Linked DNA regions of Mus musculus. The protein of the gene in region 2 interacts with the protein of the main gene of each other region in a pairwise test. Links are inferred from orthologs where the notes say so. Each region holds a gene or a part of one and is shown on either strand. Other genes may lie near its edges.

Region 1 (4,385 bases), on a different chromosome or scaffold from region 2:
GACAAAGTGTGGGCGTGTGGGCGCATGTTGCTGGGGGTGGGAGTTAAGTCTCAGGTAAGTACTTGAAGTAAGTGACCCTTACCCCATAGGGTAAGCTCTGCTTGCTCTCTCCCTTTCTCCTCCAGTCATGGCAGAGTACGGAACTCTCCTTCAGGACCTGACCAACAACATCACCCTTGAAGATCTGGAACAGCTCAAGTCAGCCTGCAAGGAGGACATCCCCAGTGAGAAGAGTGAGGAGATCACCACAGGCAGTGCCTGGTTTAGCTTCCTGGAGAGCCACAACAAGCTGGACAAAGGTTGTGGAGGGGGCGCTGCTCATTCAGTAAACTGCAAGGAACACAAGGGGAAACCCCATGACAAGGCGGGGGTAAAGTGATCGGCCCTCGACAGGAGTTGTCAGACAGGTTCTCCTACGGGCCTGAGCAGTACAATGTGTGGTAGAACTTAAGACCACTGTTCTAATGTTCTCTTACCTATGTCTAGAGACTGCTGCCTTTTAGGGGTGGGAGGGAGACACTGGATTAGAGCAATGCCATGCAGCTGGGGCTCGAAGGGTCAAATGGCATTTAAGATGGCCCCAAGTGCTGGCAGGATAGCAGGTAAAAGGATTTGCCATGTATGCCTAACAAGAGGGCCCAGGGCTCACCTTGGAAGGAGAGAGCCCCCCCCCCCAAGTTGCTGATAATAGACTGCCTCCAAAAGCAAATGGTATGTCTAAGGTAGAACCCAGAGAACATGTTAAGCAAAAGAACACAGTCTACGTTAGCTGGGCTAAAAAATATTGGGTCTAAGGCAGCCGAGTTAGTTACAGGTGTGTGAAACTGAAGTCACCCCAGAGTCCTTCCTATGAACGAGTCTGGCTGGGGTCTGACAGCAGGGAGGAAAGCCGAAGGACGACCTCTTACAGTTAAGACTATTGCAACAATCAGAGGACAGGAGCCAGATGAAATAATGGCAATCTTAAGCCAGCCTGATGGTGTCAATGCTTTCTGTCAGTTATGTAACTTTCCTTACTGGCTCAGAATATCTCTTTGATTGACCATAAATCTCACCTTCCTGTTCTGTGTAGTGTCTGGGATTTCTCCCCATACTCATCTGGAAGGAAAGTGGAAAGACAGGGTGGGTGTGGGTAGTTTTGAAGGCAGCCTTTCTATTGTACCATTCCCCAGGATGGACTTGGTATCTAGCCCAACGTCTGTATTTTCCATTTATACCCTAGAAGATCTAGGCTAAATACCTGTCCCGCTAAGGAGTAATGCTTTGAATTGTATTTGGCTGCCTCCAACTTTCTTTTCCTGGCTTGGTAGCCACTTCTTTCACTGCTGTCCCTTCCCATAACCAATGTCAGCAACTTAGTTGTGGTTCAAGAATACCAGTTTTGACAGGGCAGAAGTTGACCTCTATAGCCTAGCTCTGACACAAGCTGCCTTCCTCCAGACAACCTCTCCTACATTGAGCACATCTTTGAGATATCTCGCCGTCCTGACCTCCTCACTATGGTGGTTGACTACAGAACCCGTGTGCTGAAGATCTCTGAGGAGGAGGAGCTGGACACCAAGCTAACCCGTATTCCCAGTGCCAAGAAGTACAAAGGTAAGAAGCCATACCTTTGGCATAGCTCTAGGTCTCCCTTCCCTGTCTGACTATATATATATGCATGCATGTATGTGTGTGTATATATGTATATACTATATATTGTATAGTATATGTATACTACATATACTATTTATTTATTTTATTTATTTATTTTGGTTTTTTGAGACAGGGTTTCTCTGTATAGCCCTGGCTGTCCTGGAACTCACCTTGTAGACCAGGCTGGCCTCGAACTCAGAAATCTGCTTGCCTCTGCCTCCCAAGTGCTGGGATTAAAGGCGTGCGCCACCACCGCCCAGCCTGACTGTATTTTTAAGAGTAGAAAGTCATTCTGAATTTGGGGAGAGGTTGATGCTTAATGGGCCTGCCTGCCTGCCTGGCGACCTCCATCCCTGGGAACACCCCCCTTTTTTTTTTCAGACATTATCCGGCAGCCCTCTGAAGAAGAAATCATCAAATTGGCTCCCCCACCAAAGAAGGCCTGAACAAGGGGGAGGAAGAGGAGGAAGGTTGGATCTTCATCAGACCACTCCCTTCCCCATCCTCAATGGGAGGGGCTAGGGCAACCCCCTGCTCCGTACCCATTTACTAACTTGGTCCTAACCCTTACTATGCGCGTGTGTGTGCGTGTGCGCACGCTCTGGCTGTCTGTCTGTCTAGCTCATCTAGTTCCTCCTCCTCATGAGGGGATTGGAGGCAAGGGAGGGGGGGCTTAAATCCCCCCACTATAGGGGGAGGTGGACGCTTTTTCTATGTAAACAGAAATTGGCACATTCCTCCTCCTTCTCCCCTTTCCTCCACTCTTCCCCCACATCTTTATGGAAGCAGAAAGGACCTGCATTTTCCTACACTGAGGAGCTATGGTGAAGATGAGGTATGGGAGAGATGGTTGTATCTAAAGAAAACCAGTGGGGAAGGAAGGTAAAGAGGCCACTCAACCTCCACCTGGTAAGGGACAAAGAAAAGCCAGGACTCAGTGTTTGTATCTCTATGCTGGACTGGTTAGAAGCCAGCTTCCTGCTGTTCCCTTAGGCTGAGGTCCTGAGTGCCAATGGGCCCTCCTTATGCCCTTGTTATGGGCCTGGGATGCGGATGAGCCAGAAATCTTAATGAGAAGACCACTCGATCCTTTCCTGGTCCCAAAGATCAAACCCCAATGGAGAAGCCAGCATTTACTGTCCCCCAACCTTCTGCTCTGGAGAGACGATGCCGGGACCATGCACTACTGAGCCTGAGCTAGGGACGCAGGCAGAGACAGGCCCACTTTCTGCTCCTCAGTTTCTAAATACAGACTGTTGGATAAACTGACCTGGAGCCTAGGGAGATTGGGGGATGAGATCCTTAGGTTTTAACCCCAACCTGCCCACAACCTACAGAGTATTGTAGGCAACCTTTCCACTCTCCAGTTTAGAATTCTCCAAGCAAGTAGTTAATTACAGTGTTTCCTTTGCACTGACCACCACCCTGATTCAATCCAGGAAGGGACTGGTAACCTTTCTCATTTGGGTTTGTGGATGCCACACAGTCAAGTCACTAGAGTGCAGTGAGTGAACCCAGCCTCCTCCCTGTCCCAAGATGCCCTTCCCCATCTTGACCGTGCTAACTGTGTGTACATATATATTCTACATATATGTATATTAAACCCGCACTGCCATGTCTGCCCTTTTTTGTGGTTTTTAGCATTAACTTATTGTCTAGGCCAGAGCGGGAGTGGGAGGGGATGCCACAGAAAGGAAGTGGCAGAGCCAAATTGTTACAGAGTCCAAACAGAAAAGAACACATTTCAACTAACCACAACAAATGTTACATTTACATGTGAGCTAAGAGACAATTTAGAGAAAGATGAAGGTAGGTGCTTTTAGGATGTGGGAGCAAAACTTCACAGGGAGGGGAGGAATGGCTGTCAGAAGAGGGTTCTTGAAGCCAGACTGACTAGAGCACCCTCAGTTCCTAGCTGAGCCCAGATTGCCCATCTCCTCTGGCCACTGCTGCAGACACCTGCCTTAACTCTCACACCTCGAAGACTCCAGCTTTGCCTTAAAGGTCCTTCCTAAATCTCCCTAGTCTTGCCTGGCATCTCCTTTAAGACAAGAAATCCTTGTACAACTGGGTGGGAGAAAGGAACTCTGGGTAACATCCTTCCTTCTGGGGTGTTCCATGGGAGCAGGAGTGAGACGGCGCTTCCCTTATGGAAGAGGGAGGAGACAGGGTGCTTCTCAGAAGCTTCTCTGTAAGGCAAAAACCAAACTTTAAACAGACTAACCTGCCCTAATATACTCACCCCCTCGTGCTGCTGTGAGGTTGCTCCTAGCCTGTGCTCCTCTGTCTGCAGCGTGCACAGCCTTGTTCTAACCCTGGAATAAAGGTGACTGACTCTACCGTACCTGACTGATTCTAGAATCTCTGTGGGTCACTAAGTTTGGGAAGCTCTGAATGACTGGGAGGGGGTGTGTAGCCATGTTTTCCCTATCACCACTCACTGCAGTATAGAACAAGGGACTAGAAAACAACCCCAAAGAAAGTGCCCCATCTCTTAAGCACCACTGACATTAACAGACCTATTTCCCTTACAACATTCTTCTATGGCTCAAGCACTAGAAACAGGGATATCCCAGACTTCACTTTTTAAGTATGAGCAAAATCAAGCATGTATCTGGAAGGAATACACTGTACACTATGTCCTCTATCACAATAAATGGACCACATACCACACAAAGCAGCAGTCAGGGGAAAAGCTTTACTGAGAAAAAAATACAACAAATTCCAGAGTGCATGGTTTTAAGCCCACC
Region 2 (5,068 bases):
AATGGTATCCAAAGCCAAGTGGACACCAAGTAAGTGCTGATTAAATAAACAGTTTATCATCTTATTTTGTCATTATAATGCTTATTCAATAAATCTAAAACCTGATAAAATTTCGCAATAGAAAAGAAGATTGTGGTTCTATGGAACAGTTACATAACATATGCTGCTGTTAAATAACCCGCCGCTAGAACATCTGGGATCCAGATTTGATACTGCACTGTGAGTTCAGGGAAAACACAGCATCAGAACACATTCCCACTGAACCATATGATGCAATCTGTACAGTTGCCTTTCTAATCAGAAAAGTCCCAGGCTTACAGGAAGCTGAGGCTATGCTTCTCATCTGAACCCTGAAACATCTTTTAACCACACCCTAGCAAATACATTCTATTTGTGCTTTTGGGACTTAAAGGATTGTAAGCATAAAACCCAGCCTCCCATATGCCAGCCTTTCTCCTGTATACAATGACTCAATCTAACTACAGGTTTAAAGACCCATATCTCATGTGTTCGGTCCATTGATCTTTAGCATATGGCTGGGGAGGAGAAGAAATTGCTAAACCCAGAAACTTGTTTGATCAGAAAGGTCATTGGGTACTGGAAACATGTCTTTAGCTGGGCTCACTCATGGTGTTGCCTGGTACTATTGTACGGCTAAAGGGGACAACATTGAGATTGTTTGTGTTTGTTTGTTTGTTTGTTTGTTACATATCCAGAGGGGGGAACACTAAGAATAAACCCCTTCTCTGTTTGTACCTCTAGACAGCTAAACTCGCAAAGTGTTTCCACTACAACTCCCAATCAGCTTACCAACTGACCCTCACATAAGCTTCCTCAACCCATGGAGGTAAAACTTACCAGGCGCCCCCTATCTGGCTATGCCTTCTATGTGTGCTCTTTAAAAGTGCATTTCTTGCTGACAATGTAGCTCAGTTAGTCACGTGCACCCCTAACATGTACAACACAACACCAGGTATGCTGGTGTGTGCATGGGGTCCCAACACTTAGGTCAGGGTGGGGGCAGGATGTTCAAAAGCATAAGTCACCTTCTGCAACCCAGCGAGTTAAAGAGAGGCTCGCCTGAGCTATATAGAAAAAAAAGTGTCTTTCTTGAGCTGGGGATGATAATGCAGCCCTACACTTCCAGCATTTGGGAGGTAGAAGCAAAGGCAGAAAGATGGATAATTCATAGGAATCGCCACCAGCAGAGTGAGTTCCATCCAGGGTCATACAAGAGACTATATAAAATTTCTTTAAAGCTCTGTGAAAAGAATCCAACCTTACTCAGTGAGAAAACTGAAGCTTGCAATGCAGTCTTTATTAATAAGTGTTACTAAACCTTGTAAGGAAGTCGAGAAGTCCTTTGGGAATGGACTGGGGGGAGATGGTAGCACACTGGCAGAGCTGTGCGATCAAACATCTATTTTTAAATTGTAAAGATGGCAAAGTTACGTGTCTATTTTGATAAAATAAAAATAAAACTTAAAATTAAAAAAAAATGAAAAAGGGTAGAAATGGGACTGAAGCGATGGCCCAGCCATTAGGAGCACATCCTGCCTTTCCTTAGCATCTGAGTCCTGTTCACAGCGCCCAGTTTGAGCAACAGCCTCTTCTGGCCTTCTTAGGCACCATATGCACATAACCCACACCCAGGCCAGCATATTCACATCATTAAAAATAAAATAAATCCTTAAAACATGTTGAAATTAGAGGTAGGTGAATTGTCAGTGTAATGCTTTTCTCATACAGAGTTGCATAAGAGCATTCATACTACATACTAAGACCATACACAAATGCATTCTCGGTAAAGGTCTGATGAGCAGGCTGTCCATTAACTAGGCAGTACTCATCTAGTTATCAGTAAATCAATCAACCTAAATGAGCCTGTAGAGAACTTAACACCAGTGTGTGTAAAACGCTGATGCCAGAAACAACACAGCAAGGACACCATCTCCTCAAAACCTTCTCCACTCGCACTATTTATTTGAAAAGCTAATTGTACTGGCTCATAAAAATTCAGATACCCGCTTACATAACCATTTAAAAGGTCCCCACACACCATTTAAAGGCTGCTTACAAATTCAAGCTAAACAGTTGAGTACAAACTCACTCGTGGGCCACAAAGCACGTACTATGGAAAGAGATTCTTGCATAAGTAGGCATAACAGACTAGTTCAAACTAGGCTCTCTGCACCCGTCAGGCTTCCTTGACAGCACCTCTGACAGGTCAGGACTTCTGAATATCTCTCTGAATTTCCTGGGTAGCTAGTCTCCAGAGGCCCTGGGAAGGTCATAAGGAGTTGGCTAAGCTGAAATTGGTGGGCCTGGCTGTCTAAGAGCGCTCTTCGTCCTGTGGAAAGATCTAGAAATGGTCGAATGCAGAAGCTCCTGTGGTCCTTAAGATTATGTTTTGAGCTTCATGAAAGAAGGCCGCTGGCAGTGATCTGAGATTGGGAGGCGGGGGTGAGGAAGGCAAACGTAGGCGTGGCAGGTAGCCCTAGGGTATGGGGGAAAGGGCTGGCCAAATTCTAAGTCTTGACCTGTACTTAAGAGATGGAAGCAGGAGGGCCAGGAATGTCATCCTTGGCTACATAGCCTTTGAGTGCAGCCTGAGCTACAGAAGACTGTTTCAAACAAACCGTCCCATGGCTTAGAGACCTCCTAAGGTCCCTCCCTGACCCGGAACAGTCAGTCCCAAACATCTTGGGTCGGAGCTAAAATAGCAACTGCCTAACACAGGCCTTTCTTTTAATTGCTACCCCTGTCCCTCCTCCACTTCAGCACAGCACATCTTTGGCCCCGAGGCAGCAGCTGTGTGGCTCGGCGCCCGGCACTGTGCTTCAGCTGGACTCTAAGCCACTGGAATGCAGCACTTCCTGGTTGGTCCGGGATGTTGGTGCTGTCGCCATCCCGGTCAGCCCACAGTGCTAAGGAGCTCAGGGAGCGCGGGACGATCTAGCGGGAGCGAACAAATCTACTGAGCCCGGGACCCGAGGAGGTGGGGTGGGGTGCATCCTACAGAGGACGCCCCGGATCTGCAGGGACTTGAGAGTGGAGTGGGGCTAGGACATCAGCAGCTGACCCGGCTCTGCTCTCAGGGTAGCGGTCCTCGCCTGCGGTCAGTGTGCGCGCGGCTCTTGCCAGCGCAGACACTACAGGAATTAAGACTATGGGAGGGACTCCAGGGTTCCCAAGGGAACTTCAGGGACAGGGCTGGTGAGAGGGGCAAGAGAGGCGGGATGAAGCACGAGGACCGCGAACGTCCTGCGGGCTCAGAAGTCCCGCAAGCCTGGCCCCGGCAGCTCCTACCTGCGGGCCTGGGGCGCGGGCACACACTCTGCGGCGGCGGCGACTTCGGGGGTCCCCGCGCAGCTGGCGCAGCTGGGGCCGCGGAAGAAGGGCGGGCGCTGGGACTCGCCGCCCGGAACTCGGCCGGTCTGCAGGGTGGGGCGGGGCGGCGCCGGCCAGCCTCGGTGACAGCCTCTGCCGCCGGCCTTCCTCCATGCCTCGGTTCTAACACTTTCTTCTGTCCAAGTGTCCTAACTCAGCCACAGTTATCCGCGGGGCGCAGGGGCGCACGCAGGCGTTGTTCTTACCAAGTTCACTTCCCTGGTCTCTGAGCCCAATCCTTGTCCAAGACTGGCCCGCAAGTTACAAGCCAACAGCGAGCCAACTGGTGAAATATTCCTGCCCTGAAGTGACTTGCTTAATTAGGGGCTTTGTAGAGGTCAACTGTGGCCTTCCTGCAAATCCCACGGGTAGGTCTTGGTAGGTGTTATTGCCTGTTTATAAGGAAACTGAGGCTGGCAAGTAAAGAACCAGCCTGACCCTAAGCTTGCTGGAGCCAGCAATCTCTTCAGTCCCCAAAACTGCCCGTGCTTGTCCCCCCAGACCCCCCTTCTCTCTCTCTCTCTCTCTCTCTCTCTCTCTCTCTCTCTCTCTCTCTCTCTGTGTGTGTGTGTGTGTGTGTGTGTGTGTGTGTGTGTTGTGGCGAGTGTTCGGTTGGTTAGTTTGAAGTTAGGTCTCTGCTGTATACCTGGTTGGCCATGAAGAACAGGTAGAACTCAAACTACATGATCCTCCTGTCTCAGTCACACATCGCCCTCACACTTCTCACTCCCACTTGCCATCAGTACTGGGTCTAATTCAGAAATGTTAGAGAGAAAAGTAAAAATAAAATGGGAGGAGAACGAGAAAGTCCCATTACCCCGATGGAACTGTCCGCACAGTAACTTTGCCGTTTTAATACACTTAAGAGAGTCGTCATCAAGGGAAATCCAGTGGCTGGGTGGTGTGAATAGCAATCCTTTGGGAATATAATTTTGAACACAAGTCAGTTCCAAAACTGGTTGCACAACACTGCTTCCAGCCAAAACCCAAAGATGCAACAGTTAGTTTCCTGTACATCAAATTGCTGATGCTGTTGGTCTTTTGAAATTGTTTATTGAGTATTATACAGTGAGACAGACCCAGTTACATAATGTCTTACCATGCCCATGGCACTGCATGAAATGAAAAATATAATATTTCTGTCCAGACAGAGGAGGAGTGAAATTATAGCGCGGGGCTCAGTTTTCAAGTAACCTGGAGCTGCCCAGCCCTCCCTGACTGCATTCTTCTCTTTTGAGCACATCTTTCCTAATGATTGCAGAGTCGGGCAGCCGTCACTCTTTCCTTGTTGACAGAAATAATTGATGCCTTTTGAATCCTATGATTCTGACAGATTTTTGCAATTATATGCACAGCCTTCTGAGCAAACAGGGTCTTGCCTAAGAGGGGTTTGGCAAGACTATATAACAAGGAAGTAACTGAAAAGCTGCATATGTCTCCTTCCTCCCTTCCTCCAGTTTATTAATTTCAGATGATTTGATAAGTGTGTGCCTAGGAGTAACCGCACTCTTACAAGCTTGTCTTTAGATGGTGTGAGACATTTGGTTGAGAAGCACCAGGCTGTACAAATTACATCCTGATTTCTTAAAAGTCGTCATTGAAACTTTTGGCATCAACACATAACAATAGGTCTTTCTGTTACTATTGTAATTATAAATAAGACAACTATCATACAATG

Evidence for each region.
Region 1: the proteins of Pld1 (region 2) and Pea15a interact in a two-hybrid assay, tested with the Homo sapiens proteins (2 studies listed by BioGRID). The link is inferred for Mus musculus from reciprocal best matches to the Homo sapiens genes PLD1 and PEA15.

Annotation. Positions count from the first base shown.
Region 1 is NC_000067.6:172,196,322-172,200,706, reverse strand, and holds the end of Pea15a (astrocytic phosphoprotein PEA-15), read left to right. Parts: intron 1-125; 5' UTR 126-127; coding exon 128-299; intron 300-1,440; coding exon 1,441-1,596; intron 1,597-2,016; coding exon 2,017-2,081; 3' UTR 2,082-3,979; downstream 3,980-4,385. UniProt on the Homo sapiens protein: Blocks Ras-mediated inhibition of integrin activation and modulates the ERK MAP kinase cascade. Inhibits RPS6KA3 activities by retaining it in the cytoplasm. Inhibits both TNFRSF6- and TNFRSF1A-mediated CASP8 activity and apoptosis.
Region 2 is NC_000069.6:27,936,992-27,942,059, reverse strand, and holds the start of Pld1 (phospholipase D1), read right to left. Parts: upstream 3,381-5,068; 5' UTR 3,310-3,380; intron 1-3,309. UniProt on the Homo sapiens protein: Function as phospholipase selective for phosphatidylcholine. Implicated as a critical step in numerous cellular pathways, including signal transduction, membrane trafficking, and the regulation of mitosis.